Linked DNA regions of Arabidopsis thaliana. The protein of the gene in region 2 interacts with the protein of the main gene of each other region in a pairwise test. Each region holds a gene or a part of one and is shown on either strand. Other genes may lie near its edges.

Region 1 (4,619 bases), on a different chromosome or scaffold from region 2:
CTTCCTCACAGATTTTGTATGCTTTCTCTTTCTCTCTACAAAGATATTAAATTTTGTGGTTCAGCTAGTTGTTACTAGGTTCTTGGTTGTTATTAGATTCTTAGATTAGCGATTTTGTGTTTTTTTTTCAGGTCTGCTTACATTTTGAAACAAGAAAGCCTTCCTTCATCGTACAAGTCTTTCCTTAACAAACAAGGTGGGAAGGATCTTTCAATCTTACAAGGCGTAAAAGATATCGCAACCGCGCAACCGTTCACTAATTTAAGAGCGATTGAGAAATATTACAAGTCTGTTGGAGTTGATATCAAACTGGATCCTACCATGAAAGTCCCCTGTACGGTAAGTTTTCTATGATACTATCTTTTTTGGGTTGTTAAGACGAACAAAGCATTTGTCGATAGTTGATGTATCGTCAATGAGTCTGCATGCATGGTTTTACGCAATACTTATGTTGTTACTTGCAGATAATACATGGAAATGAGTCATGTGTTAAGCATGGTGTTACATTTTTCCTTCAAGCTTACAAGAGGGCGTTACCTGTCTATGTCCCTGTGTATTTGATTCCAGCGCTAATAGTCCATCGTCAAGACCTGCTAAAAAAGTAATAGGTTTATGTCTAAACTGCTCATTGAATGGTATATATCCTCTGATTTTATTCATCACCTCATAATATGTTTCATCACAGGCAATACTCTATACTTGGCAAGGGTCTTCTGGGCACAGCGAGATCAAGTTTGTTTCTCGCTACTTACTGCTCTTCTGCCTGGTTAGAATCAATTCTTGGAAGGCTCTTATCGATTTTTGTTTTGTTCTCACTTGAAGTTGGAACTTAGACCATCTCTATAATGATGTAAAATAGGGCTTGGACTTGTCTACTATTCCGCACTTTTGAGACATGCAACATACCGCTTGTGGCCATAGCAACAGTACAAACGAAAGCCATTCTCATCACATATCATTGTTAATATAATACCTAACGTTAGGCTTCTCCTGCAGTTCCCAACAGGTCTGGCTTTAGCTATTGAGAAGAAAAGCAGAAGGATAGAGATATCACTATACTGCTTAGCGAGGGCGATAGAGAGCTTCTTTACTTGCATGACAGAGGCAGGATACATTCGACCGCCCAAGAGTTTAAGAAGAGCGGATGTGGTTGTGTTCAGCGTTTCGACAGCCATTATAATGCATTGTTACGCACAAGAAAGAGACGTATTTCGATCAAAATACTTGAACGTACTAGATTGGGTCTTCGGTGTTCCTCCTCCCCCTCCTGCTCCTTCTTGCGAAACAACCTAGAGACATTCACTTTTAACCTAAAGATCTTTCTGATGTGGGACAGAATTTGGTGGTAGAATGCTCATTTAGAGTCTCTAGGAGTTTTGTTTTGGGTCAATTTTGTATACCACAATCCATTTGACAATTTTTGTCCATCTTATGTGGACACACCAATATGTAATCTGGTAGTCTTACATGTTCTACAAAGTTAAAATAAAACGAAGCTAAATATTTTGTTAATCAACAACACTAAACCATAAAAAAGATGGACCAAGTAAATACAATATGGCTTCAATAATTTGATACGAACATCCACCACCTATACACTGCATATCCATAGACCGTGCCGTATAAAACCATCCTCATAGGGTACACTCTAAACCTGCATTACTTGGTCCAAAGATGTATCCATTATCCATTAATTAGGCCAGTAAACCAAACCAAAATTTGGATCTAACAATTAAAATCAATAGAAAATATTCACGAAAATAAACAAATTCAATCATAACTTGTACACCTAATTCGTAGATATACAATAATACATACATTGCAAATGGAACCTAACATTGTATGTATGGTTTGAGATTCGCTCTTTTGAATCCAAATTAATATCGGTTGACAAAAAAAAAATTGTATGTATGATTTATGTTTATCCAATAGGTTTTAAGGCAATAAAGCTAAACCAAAATTTAGATCTAATAATTCAAAGATTAATATATAATGATATGATAAAACAACTAGTTTGATATTGAGATAAGATAAACAAGTAACCTTGAAGGATGAGATTTGCGGGCGAGAGCGGCTGATCTTTCCTCGGCGGTGACAGGATAGCCCCACCGAGAGAAACTCCGATCAAAGAAGTCCCAATCCGGCAAAAGTATGCCGCCAATAAGAGAAATACCGACGGCGTAAGTAACAACCGTCTTCTTTAAAGACTGTGTCCATAACCATACAACTACCATCACCACTGCAAGACCTACCATTGATGATCTTAGTGCTGCTTCGTTTCCCATTATGGCTAAGAGAGAGTAGATAGCTTATATTTAAAACGGGATTAGTTGAAGTTGCTTTATAACAGTGTAAACATGGAAAGAAGATTCACAGATTATGTAGGATGTAGGAGAAAGATTTCATTTATGTGTTAAAGATAATATTTAATGGATTTTTTTATATAGGGTATATTCTTTTGGAAAAATGCGTGGCAATCAATTGAATTGAATGCCGCCATAAATGTGGTAATGTCCCAACCGTATTTTTGGATCCAAGTTTTTGTGTTTGTTCAGTTTTATCTTTATTTATGGTTTTGATCATAGAGTAATTAGAATTATACCGAAAAATTAGGAAAAAAAAGATAAATTTTGGAATGACAAGAAGGAATTCACAAACTTTTCTTTATTTTTAATTTTTTGTAGTGTAAATGTAAAAACGGATAATTTGGTATGAAAGAATTATACCGAATTGCATCATACCATATATATAAACAATATCTCTCGGATTAACTCTTTGAATTCTAATTAATATCGGTTGCCAAAAAAAATTTGTAGAATAAAATGACATAATCATCAAGCGGGACAGAAATTATTTTTAACTTTCACAAGCATAAGATTATATGAGTACGTTGTACTTTAAACATAAGACAACAAAAAAATCTTATCATATTTTTGAGGTAAAAAAAATTATAAAATTGACCAAACAATGTGTTATACATATGAAATTTACTATTTATTATTTATTTGTTATCTCATTTAATATTATGTTATAATTTTAAATTGATAAACTTAAATTTTGAATCCTCAATATTTAATTAACTTTACCAATCAAACTCTACATCTACAACCAACACATGTAATCATACAACAAAAAGTTTATAGCTACTGCCGAACAACAGTAAAAAGGAAAGTTACTACTCAACCAAACACCCACATAATTGGTTACTAACATAAATTTTGTTTTGATAGTTGGCATCGTTAGTAATAACCTCAAACTTTTCTTTTCTTTTCGCCAAAAAGTAATAACCTCAAACTACGAATGTCGTTTTGTAAATGAAGATTTCTAATTTTTTCCTATAAATGTGAAAACAAAGTAAATACTCTTTTTCATTGATAGTATATTAGTATCTAAAGCATTAATCTTACAAAGGTTGTTAGATCTATATAAATTCAGAAACAATTTTTTAAAATCCGAAGCCACAAAACTACGCATTGACAAAGGACAAGTTTAAGTCCCTTGGTAGAAACAAATGACGTCGACTATTTCTATTGTTAAATAGCGACGAGATTAAGCCCTCATATATATGCGGCTAAATAGCAACACCATGTTTCTTTTACACATGTTTTTCTATGAACTTGCTACAAAAGTTCATGAGAAAGTGTGGTCACATCTTAATAATATCTATTCCTCGGTAACTATTTTAGTCTATATCTACTAACCAATATTTGAATATTTTCTCAGTAACAAAGTAAAATATAATACTGATTCCCCCAATGGTACTGTGATGCCACATTGCTAAACACTCAATTAAGTTTGGTTTTGATACCCCTTATAACATCATGATCGCCAATGTTTATTTACCATCAATTACAGTTTTGACCTACAAATCTCATCCTCGTTATTCGACCAGTGCACTTCTACATGTAAGGTTGATAGACTTGTTTACTAGTCTTGTTGATCATCACAAGATATTTTTATGTGTTTTGTGAATTCTTGCACAATACTAAAAATCACAATCTTTATATTGCTTCGCGTGTGGGATCAAACCTAACGATAAGATCAAGAAATTTGTTCCAAACCTCTCGTAAAGACACAAACAAGACACAATGAGAACTCTGGAAGCTCTACACTAGCTAGGAATCTGAGTTTGTAAGAACAACAGATCATCATATTTTTTGAAAATCATTTAAGTCGACTAGACCTGGGTAATAATATCACTTAATCCCTTCTCAATTATTTTGGATGCATCTTCAACATTTTGTTTTTGATAAATTCGAATCATATATGCAGAAAAAACAATTTAAATACAAATGATAAGATGATTTAGCTCTTAAAAATGACCAAAGAAACAAACAAAGATGAGAAGAAGAAATTTTGATTCTCATTATATCTTTTTAATTAAAAAATAAAATTTTATTTAGTAATGCATAATGTTTTACAAAAATATATTGGGTGGCTTTTAATTTTTGAGGAATACTGAGGAACTATCACCTAATTAATTTTGTATAAATAATTTATCAAGTAATTAAAAAACATTATTCTACGGAACCATTGAATATTTGAAATTTAGTATCTTTTATTTATTATTACTATATTTCCATTAAAATTTATTTTTTATTATACTCTAGATTTAAAGC
Region 2 (5,818 bases):
CGAAACAATCACGATTGTGTCTTCTGAGTATTGAGTCTCGAGAATAGACATGAGTTGCGTCACACGCACAAATACATCTGATACACTCTCGTTGGGGGTACCGTCGCTTATAGGAGGAGGTTTTGTCTTCATCGATATTGAGTCTAATGCATACACCTGCACAGAAGTTGAAACTTTCATACTTCAACCCGAGTTTTTGTTTGTATGTTTTAATGTGAAAAATGCTAAAATCTTACTTCTGATATAGATTCAAGCTTCTTGCCTTCGTAAGCTCCTAAACCACGAGCATCAAGGAAGCTATACTCCGGAACTATATAGCTGCGAAAACCAAGTGAACATAAAACATTCAGCGTACCATCACAAAGATTAGATTCCACAGCTAAAACCTCACTAAAGAGTAAGAAGACTAATGGACGATTTTACCTGCGACTAATTCCATTGATGGCGGCGATGATTTCAGCAGCCTGATAAGCTCTCTGTGTTATGGAAGGCCAGAGCCAACAGTTTCGGTCACAAGCTCCCATTGCTTTTAACTGTAACGCAGCTCTCAGAGTCTGCTTCTTACCTTTCTCTGATAATCCGCTATCTACCGATGTTTTGGCAACCGGGTTTGTGTTGATTATCCCTAAGCTTTCGTAATCTGATTCCCCAGCTCTCACAAGGTAATAACTTGATCCAAGAAAAAACAACAACCAAAAACACATTGTGTATTATTAGCTCCATTTTCTAAGATAACCAGGCTAAATAACTCCGGAAACGAATCAAGAACAAGAATCAAAATGTTAAAAGTCAGAGATTCACTCTTAACAGTTCAATGTGAAGAATTTGGAATCTCACTAATCTACTAAAGCTTTACAAGATCCTTTAAACTTAGTTCCAATCAAAAGGACGAAGATACGTATACATTGATGCACATCTGGTTGTATGCACAGAAACTCAAAACTAGGGTTTTGAAAAAGTAAATTACCGATTAGAGAGCCGGAGAGGCGGCATTTGAAAGAGACCGCGTGCGTTAGCTGGTGCGGCGATGGAGACGGAGAGTGATGGTGTGGCAATACATACGGAGAGAGTTTTGAAAAGGTCTCGGCGGGTAATATGCGGCGAGGAAAGTAAATTCAGAGGAATTTGGTAGGTTTCCGGCGACGGAGGAGGATGTAAGTGTGAGGCGGTGGTGACCGCCGGTGATGATGATAACATAATTCAATCGTCATCTCAAACGGTATCTCTGGTCCTCCGTGTTTTAAGGTTACAAAACCACAATTGTGAATCGCACATTCCGGTTTAGATTATGGGTTCGTTTTTAAAATCGAATCAGCTAAACCGGTAACTTTCTCGGAAATATTCTTAACCGGTCAGGACCAAAAAAAAAACCTAAAACAAGAGAGAAACTCTGTTTATTACTCTGCTCTTAAGAGGACAAATTTGTTTCTTTCCTTACAGTTTCCAAAAAAGAAAATGTTATAAAAGTAATCTAATAAACTTCGATTAAAACTAAAATTGTAACAACGTACATAGATTCAACTTGCGAAAGTTACAATCATTTCCAAAAAAAAAAACTGAAAACCCATTTCTTCATACACAAGAAACTTCATAACTTAAGGGTTCCACTTGTTCATTTTTTTTCTACATAGGCTTACACAAAATAATAGTAATAAGAACTTCACCTCACTTCTGATTCTATCTTAACCTATCGATGAAGCACCGTAGACGATGAAATAGCTGAAACTATCAAGCCTGGCCAAGTTCGATTCCAGCATTCGAATAGCGCTTTTCTTTATCTTCATCGTCATCGTTCCAGTTAGTTGTTTTATAGTAAGTTATGTATATTATAAGCTGGATTATTCCTGATAGCGATCCAAGACCATTTGGAATCTGTTTTCATGCATGGAAGATAATTAGTCCTTTTTGAGATGTAGGGATTTGAGTTCCAAACAATAAAGATATATATGAGGGTTTACCAAAATATAAGGGTCAAATTTAAGACATGCATAAATGACCCAAACGACACCGTTCATGAAGTTGGCTAATGATAGGAAGAACGGCATGTATTTCACGCTCTTTGTCTTTATCACAAGTTTCTGTTCCACATTATAACTAAACTCATTAAATGGAAATTCACGAGATAAAGAGAACAAAAGAAAAAAGTTGATAGTGTAGTATCCAATTTTTGCATTTCCGTGATTAGTTTAGAAAGAAGAGGCATCATACCATGACGGTGAGAGGAGCAGCATACATGATGACGTTGAAAACAATGCACAAGATCCCAATAAGCATTGATCTCTGCTTTGTTGTATGCAAAAAATACATTGTGCAGAAGATCACCACCGCCATGAATATTACCTCGATAACCATAGCTATTGTGATCTTTCTCTGTACACATATATATATATCATAACTTCACATATCAAAATCTATATCGATCTACATTTGAAGTAACAAACTAAAACAAACATCAACCACTAATTCACTAATTTTCAATTGGTTTAAAGGCTATCAAACCTATGTCTGAAAAGTTTATATAAATTGAATAATTTAGAATGCATATACATATTTTTATCATTCGTGTTGAAATTAGAGGTTTTAAAGGCTTACGCGGACAGGGGAGGTAGCGAAGACAAAGAAGATGGTGACGTAAACGAGTTCCATGAAAAGACCAGTTCCATTAATGGTGATGACGAGGAGACTGTCGGGCTGGACGAAAGGAAGTCCGTAAAATGTCCACATCATGCAGTTTAAAACCGTAGCTACGTATGGATCTGGCTTAAACTCGGAGACCGATTTCATCTTCCATATCTTCACCATCGTTGGTCTGCACAATTTTCACATATGTCATTGCATGCAACAAAACAAAAAAAGATTTAATCATCATGTGTGCTTACATTGGAGCGCAGAACAAGCCGAAAGAAATCACGTTTCCTAAACATATAACAGACAAACAAAGACATGAGCAAATGTTTTTGTTGTTGATTGAATTAAACTTTATGTTTGAGTAAATTGTGGAGGACTTACCAACGATTCCGACGATCGTCCGGGCGGTGTGGGGGTCCGTCATTTTTCTTTGTTTCTAAAGAAGAATTCTTTATCTTCTACAGATTTTATCAAAGAACTAATTTATATTTTATAAAAATAAAAGAAGAAGAGAAACAAAATATGTTGATGATTTCGATTCTTCTTTTCGATGATTCTTGTTTATAATTTTTTTCTTTAGTACTGCGTTTCTTTTTTGTTTGTTTCTGATTTGTGATGTGAGTTTTGTTTGTTTGATGAAATAGCTTTTTTTTTTTTGGTGTGGTTTCTAGGTTCTGTTTTTGGTTTTTTGATATTTGGATTATTTTTGGTTTCTGCTTTATGAACAGAGAAAAAAGAAAAAGTGGATTTTAATAGTGAGTCTGTGAATCAGCAGAATCTGGGTAGAGTAACAAACGCATGACACGTGGTTTCAAATTTGAGCCATGAAGCCGTTGACTCCGCTCGTACCCCATGCATGAGAAACACCCGGCTCTTCACTCACATTAATACCTCTGTCTCTCTCTCTCTCTCTCTTTCTCTTTCTCAAACATAATTACATTTACTATTACTACATCTTCATTATGTATAAAGAGTTTGTTGTCTCATATTCATGTCATAGTAAATGTTGTGTAGAGCATCTTGTATAGTATATACAATAATACAAAGCAAGTGAATATGTGCTGTAACCAAAAACTTTGTTAATAGCAACTTGTATTGATGAATAAAGAGAAGAGATTTTAGTTTTACTCTCTTTTTAGGTTTACTATGTAAACACTTTGCTATATATGAATCACTTAATATTCCTTTCTCATCAAGCTACGAAACTGCAAACGAATTGAATCAAGATGAAGAGAAACAGAACACACAAGCCTCAGGTTTCAGTGTGAGGCGCATCAATCGAAAATACTAAATTAATCTCTCATTGTTTCTTAATGTTTTCCCTTTAAATGTAGGTCGGTTAAGACTTGAGATCTAAAACCTAATGGGACATGAAACTGGGCTGCTTAGCTTATAAACTCTTTTGTATTGCCAATATATAGAAAATATCCAAAAAAACAAATGTCATAAACCCCCAAAAAATGTCAAAAACCAAAAATATATATGTGTTTTTCTTCGTTCAAGTTTAATGAAATAGAAAACTGACACCATGAAGAGAGGACGCCAAGAGAAGAAGACCTCACGATCTCCAAAACGACGACAACAACGTCAGAACGAAATCTCCGAGAGAGAAAATTCAAACGGTATACATATCCCTTTCGATGTAATAACCGATATACTCTCGAGACTCCCTGTTAAGTCACTTGTGAGGTTCCAATGTGTATCGAAGCTGTGGTCATCTCGTATCACCCTCTTGATCATGACTCGGTCATTATTCTCGCCCTCTACTTATCCTACTAATGATATATCATTCATATACCCAGACAAAGACAGTAATTATACATTAAACCATGGGCGAAGTTGGGATTTTAAGTATCAATAATTTTCGAGGACTCTTCTGTTGTTGGTCAAGCTCGATCTATAAACATACCAATAGGAAAACGATTTTATTACCGGAGGTAAAACACGATAGATGGAGCAACTCGTGTGATGGATTGTTCGGATATGATCCAGTTGAGAAACAAGTTTTCACATTAGTGGGAGGTCCAATGAAGCAGCAATGGAGGAGCCTTGACATCCAAGGCATTTGGAATCACTCTCCAGAAGCTAGGAGTAGTGGTTTATGTATCAAAGAGTTTATCTATTACATAGCACATGTAGAAAGCTGGGATGATCCCGAATTCTATGAGCTAGTGAGGTTCGACGTTAGACACGAAAGCTTTGATCGTATTCAGATGCCCATAACTCTGCAGATGAATCAGCAGCTCAGTGAAGTGAGTTTCGATGAATTGACTTTGGTAAACTACCAAGGAAAATTAGGATGCATACGTTACACCAAAGCTAGTGCAGAGATGTGGATTATGGAAGATCATATTGAGCAACAAGAATGGTCTAAGATGATGATATTTGAGAAATTAGGTATTGCATCGCTGGTGTCAGTCCTAATGGTGAGATTGTGATAATGCCAAAGACAGTGACATCTGCTCAATCTTTGTACCCCTCGTACTATGATCCGAAATGTTAGTTTGTTGTACCCGCCGGATCACATTTGTTCAACTCGTTCCCTTAGTGAATAGTAGTTTTTATAATAAATATCAATTTTGTTTTATCAAGTGTATTCCTAAAAACATTGTTAGGAAAGTAACTATCTTATAACGGATTCTAGCTCAAGATATTTATTTTTTCTAAGACTCGTTTTCACCAGCCTAAGAAATTGTTTAACACTTTTTATGATTCTCAATCGTGTTGATCGATAATTGAGTTTCTAAGGTTTTAATATTTACAGCCATGATTCGTAAAAGTGTCAAGTGTGCATATAATAACATAGAAAAAATAACAATTTCTTAATTTATATTACAAGTGTCAAGTGTGCATATAATAAATAGGACCAATCATAATCCTTTACAGCTAAAACTTGAATCAAGTTATATTATCATCACGAGTCTTTTGACCCAAGAAAAAACTTCTCTGAGTTTCGGCCCATGGAACTTTCGCAGTCGGACCCAACCCGAGATCCTGATACCCGGTACGATCAACGTTGCTGTTGTTTCCCCAGCTTCCGCCGATCAAGAAGCTCCACCGCCGTTGGTTACTCCTCCTGGGGACGAATTCGAACCGTCGATGACAGTAATCACAGCGGCGACCACGGCGACGAGCCACGTTGGTGGATCCGAGCATCCTTGAAGATCCGAGAGTGGTCAGAAATCGTTGC
Region 3 (5,149 bases), on a different chromosome or scaffold from region 2:
TGGTAGCTCGCGCTCTCGATGTTTTCTTCAGCCAAGGCAATACAGTGACTTTCTCTAATGATCCAAGTCTGAGGAATACCAACGATAGCGGCATTAAGCTATCAAAACTTCACATTTTCAATGAAGGGGAGAGGTTCTTGCAGGTCATTCTTGAGATGAATTATACAGGTCTGACTGGACAAATCGAGTTTAATTCAGAGAAAAACCGGATTAATCCAGCCTACGACATTCTGAACATAAAAAGTACAGGTCCACTGAGAGTTGGATACTGGTCGAATCATACAGGTTTCTCAGTCGCGCCTCCAGAGACATTATACTCTAAGCCTTCAAACACATCTGCAAAAGACCAACGTCTTAATGAGATCATATGGCCAGGGGAAGTAATAAAGCCACCTCGGGGTTGGGTTTTCCCTGAAAATGGAAAGCCGCTGAAAATCGGGGTGCCTAACCGTGTAAGCTACAAAAACTATGCTTCTAAGGACAAGAACCCGCTTGGTGTTAAAGGCTTTTGCATCGACATCTTTGAAGCTGCGATTCAATTGCTTCCATATCCCGTTCCACGTACTTATATACTATATGGGGACGGGAAGAAAAATCCTTCATATGACAATCTCATAAGTGAAGTTGCTGCAAATGTGAGTCCTACTTCTTCTTCTATTTTACTCAATCAATTACACGAAACAGTATACTTATGTTTTGTTCTATTTATGTCTCTAGATTTTCGATGTAGCTGTTGGGGATGTTACCATCATTACAAACAGAACCAAGTTTGTAGATTTCACGCAGCCATTTATAGAATCAGGGCTTGTGGTGGTAGCTCCAGTGAAGGGGGCCAAGTCTAGTCCTTGGTCCTTCTTGAAGCCATTCACTATAGAGATGTGGGCTGTGACCGGTGCCCTTTTTCTCTTTGTTGGAGCCGTCATCTGGATTCTTGAACATCGATTTAACGAAGAATTCCGCGGACCTCCTAGGCGTCAAATCATTACAGTCTTCTGGTTAGTTCCATACAATTATTGAATCGACACAAAACTCATATGTATTAGTTTAAGCTCAAGTGCTAAAGCTTTGCTTTACCCCCTTCCTTTCTCGTCTTCAATATTGCAGGTTTAGCTTCTCAACAATGTTCTTCTCTCACAGTATGCACACAATTACATTTAAGATCATACGAAAACATCAAAGAGAAGAAACTCTCGGTTCTTTTCTTTTGTTACCAAGGTCGCAAGGTGTTTTATTCTTCTTCCTTTGTTGATCTTCAGGGGAGAATACGGTGAGCACGTTGGGAAGGTTTGTGCTACTCGTATGGTTATTTGTGGTTCTAATCATCAACTCAAGCTACACAGCCAGTCTCACTTCAATCCTCACCGTTCAACAGCTAACATCTCGGATAGAAGGAATGGACACTTTAATAGCAAGCAACGAACCCATTGGAGTCCAAGATGGTACCTTTGCGTGGAAATTTCTGGTCAATGAACTTAACATAGCTCCATCAAGAATCATTCCGCTTAAAGACGAAGAAGAATATCTCTCTGCTCTTCAACGTGGTCCCAGAGGCGGTGGCGTGGCAGCCATTGTCGACGAGCTTCCTTACATTAAAGCTCTCTTGTCAAACAGCAACTGCAAGTTTCGAACAGTTGGACAGGAATTCACTCGGACAGGCTGGGGATTTGTATGTGAAAACCAACTTCAATTTTTTAAGATCAGTCTCTGTTAAAACTTTGCTTAATGGATCTCGATTCTTGCAGGCGTTCCAGAGAGACTCTCCTCTAGCTGTGGACATGTCGACAGCGATCCTGCAACTGGCTGAAGAAGGAAAACTCGAGAAAATCCGCAAGAAATGGCTTACCTACGACCACGAATGTACAATGCAGATTTCAGATACAGAAAACTATCAAATATCGGTACAGAGTTTCTGGGGACTCTTCCTAATATGTGGCGTCGTTTGGTTCATTGCACTCACACTCTTCTGCTGGAAAGTTTTCTGGCAATACCAACGGTTAAGACCAGAAGAGAGTGATGAAGTACAGGCGAGGAGCGAGGAGGCTGGTTCTTCTAGAGGGAAAAGTTTGAGAGCAGTGAGTTTCAAGGATTTGATCAAAGTTGTTGATAAGAGAGAAGCAGAGATTAAGGAGATGCTTAAGGAGAAGAGCAGTAAGAAACTCAAAGATGGCCAAAGTTCAGCTGAGAATTCGCAGTCGAAAGATCACGAAACTCCACAGTGAGATATATAATAACGAGTTACACAATTTGTTTAATGACTGCAGATATAACATTACACTTAGAAAGGTACATAGATTTATTACATAGATAGAGATAAAAATGCAAAACAATTTCCCTACCATCTTGCAAGACGAACAAGTGAACTGAGTCATGGTTTCAATACCAAGTAGTCTCAACATTTTAAAAGATCTAAAACGTAACACTAAGAAATGTACCTTGCTAAAGAATTTGCTTAAGGCAATGCAAGGTTGTAACTTGCAAGTGTGTTTACGAATATGATTCCTCCAAGGCGTGAGAGATAAGGAATTTTGAAATGATCATGTCTTTAGACTCCCTGAAAAATAAAAAATAAAACATCTGCAAATTCAAGAGTCGAAAGTTATTAGAACCGTAGAGTTCACATTTTTCTAGACTATGTAGAGGATGTGAAACTTATTCAAATGTTTAGAACTTAAGATTTTGTAACAGATCATGGGCTCTCTTAATTAGTGTAGTCCTTCGGGTGACTATTTTTTCTGGATACTATATACATCCTCCGAGGAAGATTATGGGCCTAAGGCCCGGTAGTGTTCGAATTTACCACTGAATCAAACCGGAAAAATGGTAGCCGTTTAAACCGGTTCGCTTTAATTTAGATTTGGCCAATTATTAAGTAGCCGGCTCTTCGTTTCCGCGGTCAACGACAGATTAAAGCAGAGAGAAAAACAAAATCCATTGAAGAAGGAGAAGAAGAAAAAAAATGGGAGCATTTTGCAAGTTGATCGATGCGGTTCTCTTCTTATACTTTGCTCTCATGGCGGTAATTGCGCCGCTTATCGACGGTCAAACGAGTCTTCCCGGCGATATCTTCCCGGCGTTTATCGTCGATCTGAATCGCTGGTACATTGATGAATTTGGAGATTATCTAGTCAAAGAGAAGCCGCATTTCCTAGTCGGACTCGTCTGGCATGAGCTTTTGCTTCTTTGGCCGCTCTCAATCGTCAACGTCTACGCAATTCTCGCTGGGAAATCGTGGTTTGGTACCACCTCAATGGTGTACGGAGCTTCCGTCGTGACTTCTATGGTACATTTAGATCTTAATCTCGCTGTTTCTGATCAATTTGGATATAACGTGTTTGATTTAGAGTAAGATTTTGTTGATTTATGGATCTGAAATCTGAGATTAATGAAGATTATAGGAGAAATGATTATTGGTGATCAATGTTAAAGTCTGTGAAACTGGACCATTACAAAGTATGAACTAGGAGCAGACTAGTGAAATTTGTATAATGCTTGATTCAAGATTTCATTTGGTTCCCTAAAATCACAACATTGTATGTTGATGAGGGAGAGAGATTTTGAGTTTCTACTATGTTGAATGACTAGTTTCATGGTTATTAGAATTAGTAACGTTATCGAACTTATACTTATTGTTCTGCAATGTGAATCTTTCCGCATTCATTGCTAATATGCCTTGTGATGAAGAATCTGATATTGAGTATTCATTACTTATTAGGCTGCTATACTGGGAGAGATGATAGGATCAGGGAAGGCATCTGAGAAATTGTTGATGATGTATGTGCCATTCATGGGTGTTGGTATTCTAGCTCTTCTTCGTGGTCTTCTTTCTCAATCCAACAAAAGTGGTGGAGCTGTTGGCAAGAGACCTGCTATTTTGGCCAGGAGAAAGCGTGCTTGAGGTACACTTGATGATCAGCAAGTGTATCTTTTGACTCTGAGAATTTCTGCTATAGGTGGATTTGGCTTTTCAAACAGAAAATTTTGAACCTTTGTGATGTATTCTTCCTGTTTTTTTAGCAATATCATGTCATCTGTGTTCTTGTTTGAAATTAAATGAAGTTAAACTGAAAATATTTTACAGTTCACTTCACCAAAAGGTCTACATTGTTGGGTCTTGACAAATCACACGTTGTGATTCCCATTCCCAAAAGGTCTACATGTTCAGCACAGATTTCTTAGTCTTGTTGGGTTTGGTCAATCTAAAACCATAGGCAACGCGCAACAGCCAAAAACTCTTTAAGCTCTCTTGCAAAACAGAGAGTCTTGGGAAGAAAAGGTGTGAAGTTTTGATAAACCAAACTACAGAAATAGACAACAAAAACAATACAAAAGAAATATCCATACTCTAGAAGAAGATCTAAAGTCAATAGAAAGAAAACAAAAAACAAATTTGAAACTCAAATAGAGAAAAAGAGTACTCAATAACTTCATAAAGGTTTCCAAGTCCAACAATGACAAGGAAACAAACAGACTCAACTGAAACAACGAAAGGTTCCATGTCCAACAATGACAAGGAAACAAACAGACTCAACTGAAATAACAAAAGGTTTCCAAGTCCAACAATGACAAGGAAACCAAAGACTCGAATGAAATAACAAAAGGTTCCAAGTCCAACAATGACAAGGAAACCAAAGACTCAACTGAAATAGCAAAAGGTTCCAAGTCCAAACAATGACAAGGAAACAAAAGACTCAAATGAAAGGAAAAGATAGTTGTTTTTTCCATCTTGAATGGGTTTATTCCAGGGCTAGTCAAATCCCGAACCTCGTAAAAAACCAATCTCCTTGAGGTTCGTTCTTGACTCCTCCCCTTTTGAAGCTCTCCAATAGATTACCGAAATGGGGGTGGTTCAAGCAGTCTGACAAGGAAACAAATCTTTGATCCTCCGCACGGTTGTACGAATCAGATTCTCAGTAGTTGCAACAGAGCTAACACTCAGCCTAGCCTCAGGACCTGACTCAACCAGCATTTGGAAGGAAATGGTCAAAAGTGATCCTCCTTCTTTTCCTCCAGGCTTACCCGTACCATCTGGAAAAATAGCAAAACCAGAAGGCAGGATCACCACAAAGTCAGGATCACCACCTCCATGGAGAGTAATATCCATTGATGTCATATCAACAGGCGCATAAAGCACAAATGAAGCTGTTGGGTC
Region 4 (5,707 bases), on a different chromosome or scaffold from region 2:
TTGAGAGGCGGTTTCCGGTGAAAATGATTCCTCCGGGAGTTAAAAAAAGTCGCCGGAGAATCTCTCATCCGGTCAACCAAACAATTTTGAGGCCTGATAATTTCGGTTCCCATCTCTAAAGATAAAAACAAAAAAATTATAAAAAATGGCGCCGGAGGAATTCCCTTCGGCGGCTAATAAATAAAGAAGAAATCGTGGTGGTAGAAATGAGGGAGGAGGAAGAAGAAAAGGGTCAAATAGTCCTTTTCTTCGATTCCTGCTCGAAATTTTTGTAAATTGGTTAAAATCTACAAATAATCTAATTTATGAGTTTTTTTGCTGGTTAATGGAATACTGGAATAAATAGAAGAAATTAGAAGAGATGACAAAAATGGAGAAAATGGCTTCTCTGTCAGAGCTTCGTTTCCTCGTAACGATGCATCTGTAACCTAAACACATAATTCTATTTTTCTTTTTGTTTAATTTAGTTTGTTTCCCTGTCCGTTTTTCCATTTTTAAATTTGATTTTCCACAAATCTAATTTTTGCTGAATTAATGTAATGTTGCTCTATGGGATTAATCAAACAAGCATTGGACTACATATATTGACATGTTTTAAATGAGAACTGTAAATATGAACTAATTCCAATGACAAATCTTTTTCAAGCTGTGATGATGGAAACAAGTGATTGCTTCCAATGCAAGAAACTATATTGCCGAAATATAGTTTGAGTGTTTTTGGTAGAATTCAAGATTGATGTTGTTTATAGAAGCAAGCACGAGTGGCTTGGGAAGACATTGACCCGTTATTTTCTAGAAAAAGATGTGAGACACTGTTTTCGTCTGCCTTTGTCTCTTCTGGACACGAAAACCATATCAAATCACACAAGGGTGTACCAGACTTTATCGAGTGAGATTGAAGAGATCACGCCCTTGGTTGGCTTGGGATCATCTTTCTTAACTCTTTAAGTATAGATTGTATTTTTGACGTAATTTGAAAGAAGAAATGTGGCAATTTCTTACACTTTTTCTAAAGGGTATTTGTTTCATTAGGTATAATTTCTTCGTGCAAAAATAGAAAACTTTGTCTGTTAGTGTTAGGTTATTATAATGATGAAACACATTCACAAGACTTAAATGTATGGGTGACAACTAGTATGGATTCAGTCATCTCATGGAGCAAGTTCTCAACAGTGCAAACCATTAATCCGAGTTGGAATATGTTTGCTGATGGGATGAGTTTCTTGGTCGGCGAGCATAACAAAGTTGTATTGTGTTACCCTAACCGGACCCCCAACGAAATCTTACACATTGGGGAAGAAATTTATCACATACAACATTTGGATGATCATGATAGAGATTCTACCTCAAGATCATCTTTTCTTCTGAATTATGTTCCAAGTTTAGCTCGAATAAAGATTAGTATGAATCAATATTAGACAAGAAAGTATTCAGACAAGAGTGCGGTTGAGATTACACCGATTAAACACAAAACTGATGCAAAATCTGCAAACTTATTCGAAGAGCCAGAGAAGAAGTAGATCTTGTGGCTACTGCTCTCTCCTCTGAAGCCTCTAACAATCATGGCCTGCATGCACATAAATTACAAACTTCTTCAACAGAGAATTCTTATTTGATTCTCAAATCAATGAGATGATAATAAGTGAAATCTATTTGACCTGTGATATTTGTTCGGCATGACGAAATATATTCTTGAAGATGCGGCGTATGAATGACGCGAAAACTACAAAAAGCGATCACTTGTAAGATGAGATGTATATAGAAAGAGAGAAGAAACTTTTAGATTCTTACTATCAAGTGTCTCCAGAACAGTAAGCTGCTGCCAGTTTACTCTTCGCGATACAATTCCCAGTGAAACACTTCGGACCTACAATGTAACATATGCACAACGTACCATTATGTGGTTTAGGACTTGGAATAACTAGGCTGATTGATAATATTAAAGCGAATAAGTGAACAGTCGTTACCTCATCGAAAACCAAATTAATGAATCTCAGTGAAAGCAGTAGCGTGAGGATAATTTCACTGACTGGAACACCAATATATGTCAATGGGAACAAGAACCAACGTAGAGCTAGTGCAAGTTGCTCTGGTGTTGTTGTTGCAAGGCAAATACTAGCACTTTGGAAGATCTGTGACCAAAAACCAAATGTTCCATTAAGTGATCTAATCAAGAAAGGAAATAGGTAAACCGCGGAAGTCGAAAAACCGACTTACAATAAAGGTTAAGCATGCGGCTGTGCTTCCAACAGACAAACCTTTCCTTGTGAATTGCAAAGGACCAAGCTTCAGTAACATGTACGAATAACCGCTTAAAGACATGGGAAGATTAGGCAAGCTTGTGATTGAAGATGGTGGTGTTCTTGATTGAAGCATTGGAGGTGCACCATCTGAACCTAGCCCCAATGTTATGAAGAGAATACCCGAAAGAAGCGACACTCTCGCCAATTGATCCTTTACAGAAAAAGTTAGGAAACTCAGCAGAGCAGATAGATCACATATAGAAACAGAGTTGTGACAGAGAAACAGAACTCACTATCCAAACTTGTCTTGGGAGAACAAGGATTGACAAAAGAGCTGTGCATAGAACAAGTCCTAAACGCACAACTAGATTTGCTCTTGCTGGAAGAACTACTAGAGTTAATAGCCATACCTACACATATATACAAATACCAAAATTCAAGCTTTAACAAAAAAAAAAAGACTCAAACTTTTTAACAAAATTGGATTAGAAATTTGATAAGAATCAAGAATTCAATATACCAATTTGATTCTGGGATCCACCGAGTGGAGAAATGTCACAGGAGACGATATGAATTGTCCGATGGGACTTCCGGTGGCGCTTGAAATCAATCTGAAGACGTTTTCGGCTCCAAGTCCTGGAATTGGTAACCGGTTCACCCAATTACCGGTTTTACCGTCTCCGTCGACGGTGGCTCTGACAATGAAAACCCTTTTCGCGGCGAGAGAGGAGGAAGGAGTCTCATTAAGCCGGAGCGGGAAGAGAAGCTTAGGGTTTGTAAAGTTCCGGTTAGGAATTGGAGATGTGAGATGACGAATTGGGTGTTTGGGGATTAGGGTTACGGTGAGGGAGACTGTTGGATTGGCAAGATTGGAGTGATTCATGAGTTTTCAATTTCGGATTGGATCAGACATATGCCCTAGAGCGGGAAATTCTGTACTTGGTAGAGAGAGAGATACTGTAAACTGTCAAGTGTTAAACTGTTGTACTTGTTGGTTTTGTCGGACGTTGACTGTGGTTCTCAACTTCTCATAATAACAAAAGTCAAAGTATACCAAAATTTGGATTTCGGTTCTTGTTCGAATTTGATGTATATATAGACTCGTTTTGGATTTTCTCACACTCTTTTTGTATAAATCTTTTCTCGTAGAGTCATAGCCACACCAAAACCAAGATTAAGTAATTTGATACAATACAGCATATGAAAATGTAACTTAGCTTTTAAGATAGATAACATATTACTGCCTAGGAGCATTTTTGACAATTTTTGAGGTGATGGAAAAAGTTGGCTCGAGAGCTTTTTGAATATTCCAGGCGGTTCGGCCTAAGCTGCCCGTTGTTTCCAGTATTATTCCGGTGGTTTTTCCGGCTTTCTCTCCAAAACTTTGGTGCGGTCATCACAAAAATGTGAATATGTGTTACACTCAACTCAATAAATGTATAAAATTGTAAAATTCGATGGTCATGTAAACATGTTATATAACTCATCTAAACAATCCTAACAAATAAAAATGATAACCTATCTCTAAAAATCATTAGCTACCCCTCAAAACTATTTGGTAATTAATTATTAGATTGTATGCACGCTATACAATAATTCTACCAACTTCGATTTTATTTTCTACCGATATAATCATTCTTTTGATTCAAATACCGGTGTGTTACTATAGAAACATAATTCATTCTCAAAATTGAGGATCACAAAGTGAGCTTTTTACCTCTTACTCACAAGTCTAGTAGCAGCCATGGATGTGGCATAATGAGTTTGTATTTCTGCCGCTTCAGCAGCACCAATTATATTATCTATTGACCACATCAAAGTGTTTATCTGTTTTATTTAAATTTTGATCTCAAAAACTTCAAAATAAATGAATATGAGTATAGATTGACAATTAATGGAGCTATTCTATGTAACTTACGAAAAGAATCAAGTGATGCCAAGATAACCTCTCCTGGAGCAGTGGATAACAATGCCTTCCCTAACTTCGACTTAACCACCGGAGCTATCATCGAACTGCTCACCAAATCTCCACCTTCTAAGGCCGCCATTCCTATAGCCTCGCTCACCTTCCACAGCTTCTCCGCTCTATGTATATGTTACATCCAACAAAATAACCAAGATTTGGTTCATTATAAGAAGGAACAAGAACCAAGATTTTATTGTTTGGTATAATATATACTATTTTGTGGGATAGAGATTAAAATATGAATACCTTTGAAGATTTTTGTTGAGTTTATTCTTCTTATTAGTTTCATTGTTGCCACCTCCATCAATTTGTGATATGTCACCACTTCTTTCCTCATCCTCTTCAGCAATCGTTCCTTCCTCGTGAATCTGTTTTTGTTGTAAGAAAATAAAACGATATTAATAATAAAAAATACTACAATATGTGCGTCTTACATCTCCATGTTCATATAAAAGTTTTTAAAAATCCAACACAAAAATAAGATGATCTATACTAGTAAATAAAACACATAAGTCGTTCCACAAGTTGGGTTTGAATTGGAAGTTCATGATTCTTTACTACAACAAATATTTCGATTCAAATCACAATCATCTATTAACACTCATAAGCATCATGAGAGGGACTTATATGTATGAGACCTTCTTAGAGTAAGAATTGCTACAAGTGAAGATTCCCTTGATGATATGCCCTGTTCCTACCGCGATGGCCTTGGCTACACCATTTTTGTAGTCTTCAGCCTTCGGTGCAAACTTTTTCCAATCAATTTCATTGTTGTTCTTACCTGAAGTACTTGAAGATTTCTCCCCCATGATATCTCCAAGAAACTCAGGGTTTTCCATGATTTCTCCGTCTTCCCCTAAGAAACTCAAGGCTAGCTCCAACAGTTCGGATTTATCGACGATTTGGACTCCGTAATCGGGATTCTCCAACAAAACTTCTTCGTTCACCGCTTGGGCAGATTGGTTTTCTTGGGTTGATGTGGACATTGTGTCTTCTTTCTTAGTACAGTAGTACTTTTAAGTTTGGTTTATATGTGAGGCTCGTTCCTATATAATGTTGGATGATCGAAGGTAATGACGTAAACACTTACCATTTGATCATATTAATAACCAACAAAAATGTAAGACCATAAAATATGATCATATAGCTTGGTAGTGAAGAATAAGTAAAATTTTCTAGTTGTATAACTAGCAAGTTGTTTCAACAGAAGATGAGAGAATACCTTTTCTTAATATATGATTTCATCTATAGAAACAACTTCTAAATTTGACCATACGTGTTATGTTTTCCAAGACTTCATCAAGTTGCTTGTTTAACTGGTTTTTGTAGAGTTTACATTGGTGTTTTGTGATATCATTCTCCTAAGGTATGTTATACATAATCCCAAGTGTGTTATTCTTCTCTGATGAATTATATTCCCCCAAAATTGAGTTTTATATGTTTTGTTTCAATAGTTGACAAATAGAATTAGTTCTACGCAATCAAATCGTTCATATTA

Evidence for each region.
Region 1: the proteins of AtVEX1 (region 2) and AT1G34640 interact in a protein complementation assay, tested with the Arabidopsis thaliana proteins (one large-scale study listed by BioGRID).
Region 3: the proteins of AtVEX1 (region 2) and AT2G32380 interact in a protein complementation assay, tested with the Arabidopsis thaliana proteins (one large-scale study listed by BioGRID).
Region 4: the proteins of AtVEX1 (region 2) and ABCI12 interact in a protein complementation assay, tested with the Arabidopsis thaliana proteins (one large-scale study listed by BioGRID).

Annotation. Positions count from the first base shown.
Region 1 is NC_003070.9:12,686,143-12,690,761, forward strand, and holds AT1G34640 (peptidase), read right to left. Parts: upstream 2,402-4,619; 5' UTR 2,286-2,401; coding exon 2,044-2,285; intron 1,655-2,043; coding exon 1,564-1,654; 3' UTR 1,410-1,563; downstream 1-1,409. Other genes in the region: AT1G34630 (uncharacterized protein), read left to right, coding at 1-16, 132-339, 465-601, 686-766, 860-926, 997-1,293.
Region 2 is NC_003076.8:25,228,476-25,234,293, forward strand, and holds AtVEX1 (Nodulin MtN3 family protein), read right to left. Parts: upstream 3,370-5,818; 5' UTR 3,053-3,369; coding exon 3,010-3,052; intron 2,917-3,009; coding exon 2,880-2,916; intron 2,810-2,879; coding exon 2,593-2,809; intron 2,371-2,592; coding exon 2,209-2,370; intron 2,193-2,208; exon of another isoform or gene 2,093-2,192; intron 2,079-2,092; coding exon 1,959-2,078; coding exon of another isoform or gene 1,896-1,958; exon of another isoform or gene 1,873-1,895; coding exon 1,729-1,872; 3' UTR 1,463-1,728; downstream 1-1,462. Other genes in the region: AT5G62840 (Phosphoglycerate mutase family protein), read right to left, coding at 1-156, 237-318, 424-669, 968-1,197; AT5G62860 (F-box associated ubiquitination effector family protein), read left to right, coding at 4,157-4,312, 4,566-5,066; AT5G62865 (uncharacterized protein), read left to right, coding at 5,589-5,818. UniProt on the Arabidopsis thaliana protein: Mediates both low-affinity uptake and efflux of sugar across the plasma membrane. May play roles in nurturing the male gametophyte.
Region 3 is NC_003071.7:13,745,538-13,750,686, reverse strand, and holds AT2G32380 (Transmembrane protein 97, Putative), read left to right. Parts: upstream 1-2,876; 5' UTR 2,877-2,956; coding exon 2,957-3,280; intron 3,281-3,712; coding exon 3,713-3,895; 3' UTR 3,896-4,121; downstream 4,122-5,149. Other genes in the region: GLR3.5 (glutamate receptor 3.5), read left to right, coding at 1-635, 718-995, 1,105-1,136, 1,257-1,666, 1,743-2,219; HDG3 (homeodomain GLABROUS 3), read right to left, coding at 4,847-5,149.
Region 4 is NC_003074.8:7,600,595-7,606,301, forward strand, and holds ABCI12 (cobalt ion transmembrane transporter), read right to left. Parts: upstream 3,306-5,707; 5' UTR 3,127-3,305; coding exon 2,764-3,126; intron 2,654-2,763; coding exon 2,537-2,653; intron 2,455-2,536; coding exon 2,218-2,454; intron 2,133-2,217; coding exon 1,968-2,132; intron 1,868-1,967; coding exon 1,792-1,867; intron 1,724-1,791; coding exon 1,659-1,723; intron 1,568-1,658; coding exon 1,415-1,567; 3' UTR 1,228-1,414; downstream 1-1,227. Other genes in the region: AT3G21570 (proline-rich nuclear receptor coactivator), read right to left, coding at 1-113; AT3G21590 (Senescence/dehydration-associated protein-like protein), read right to left, coding at 3,957-4,045, 4,162-4,328, 4,456-4,577, 4,848-4,921, 4,991-5,195.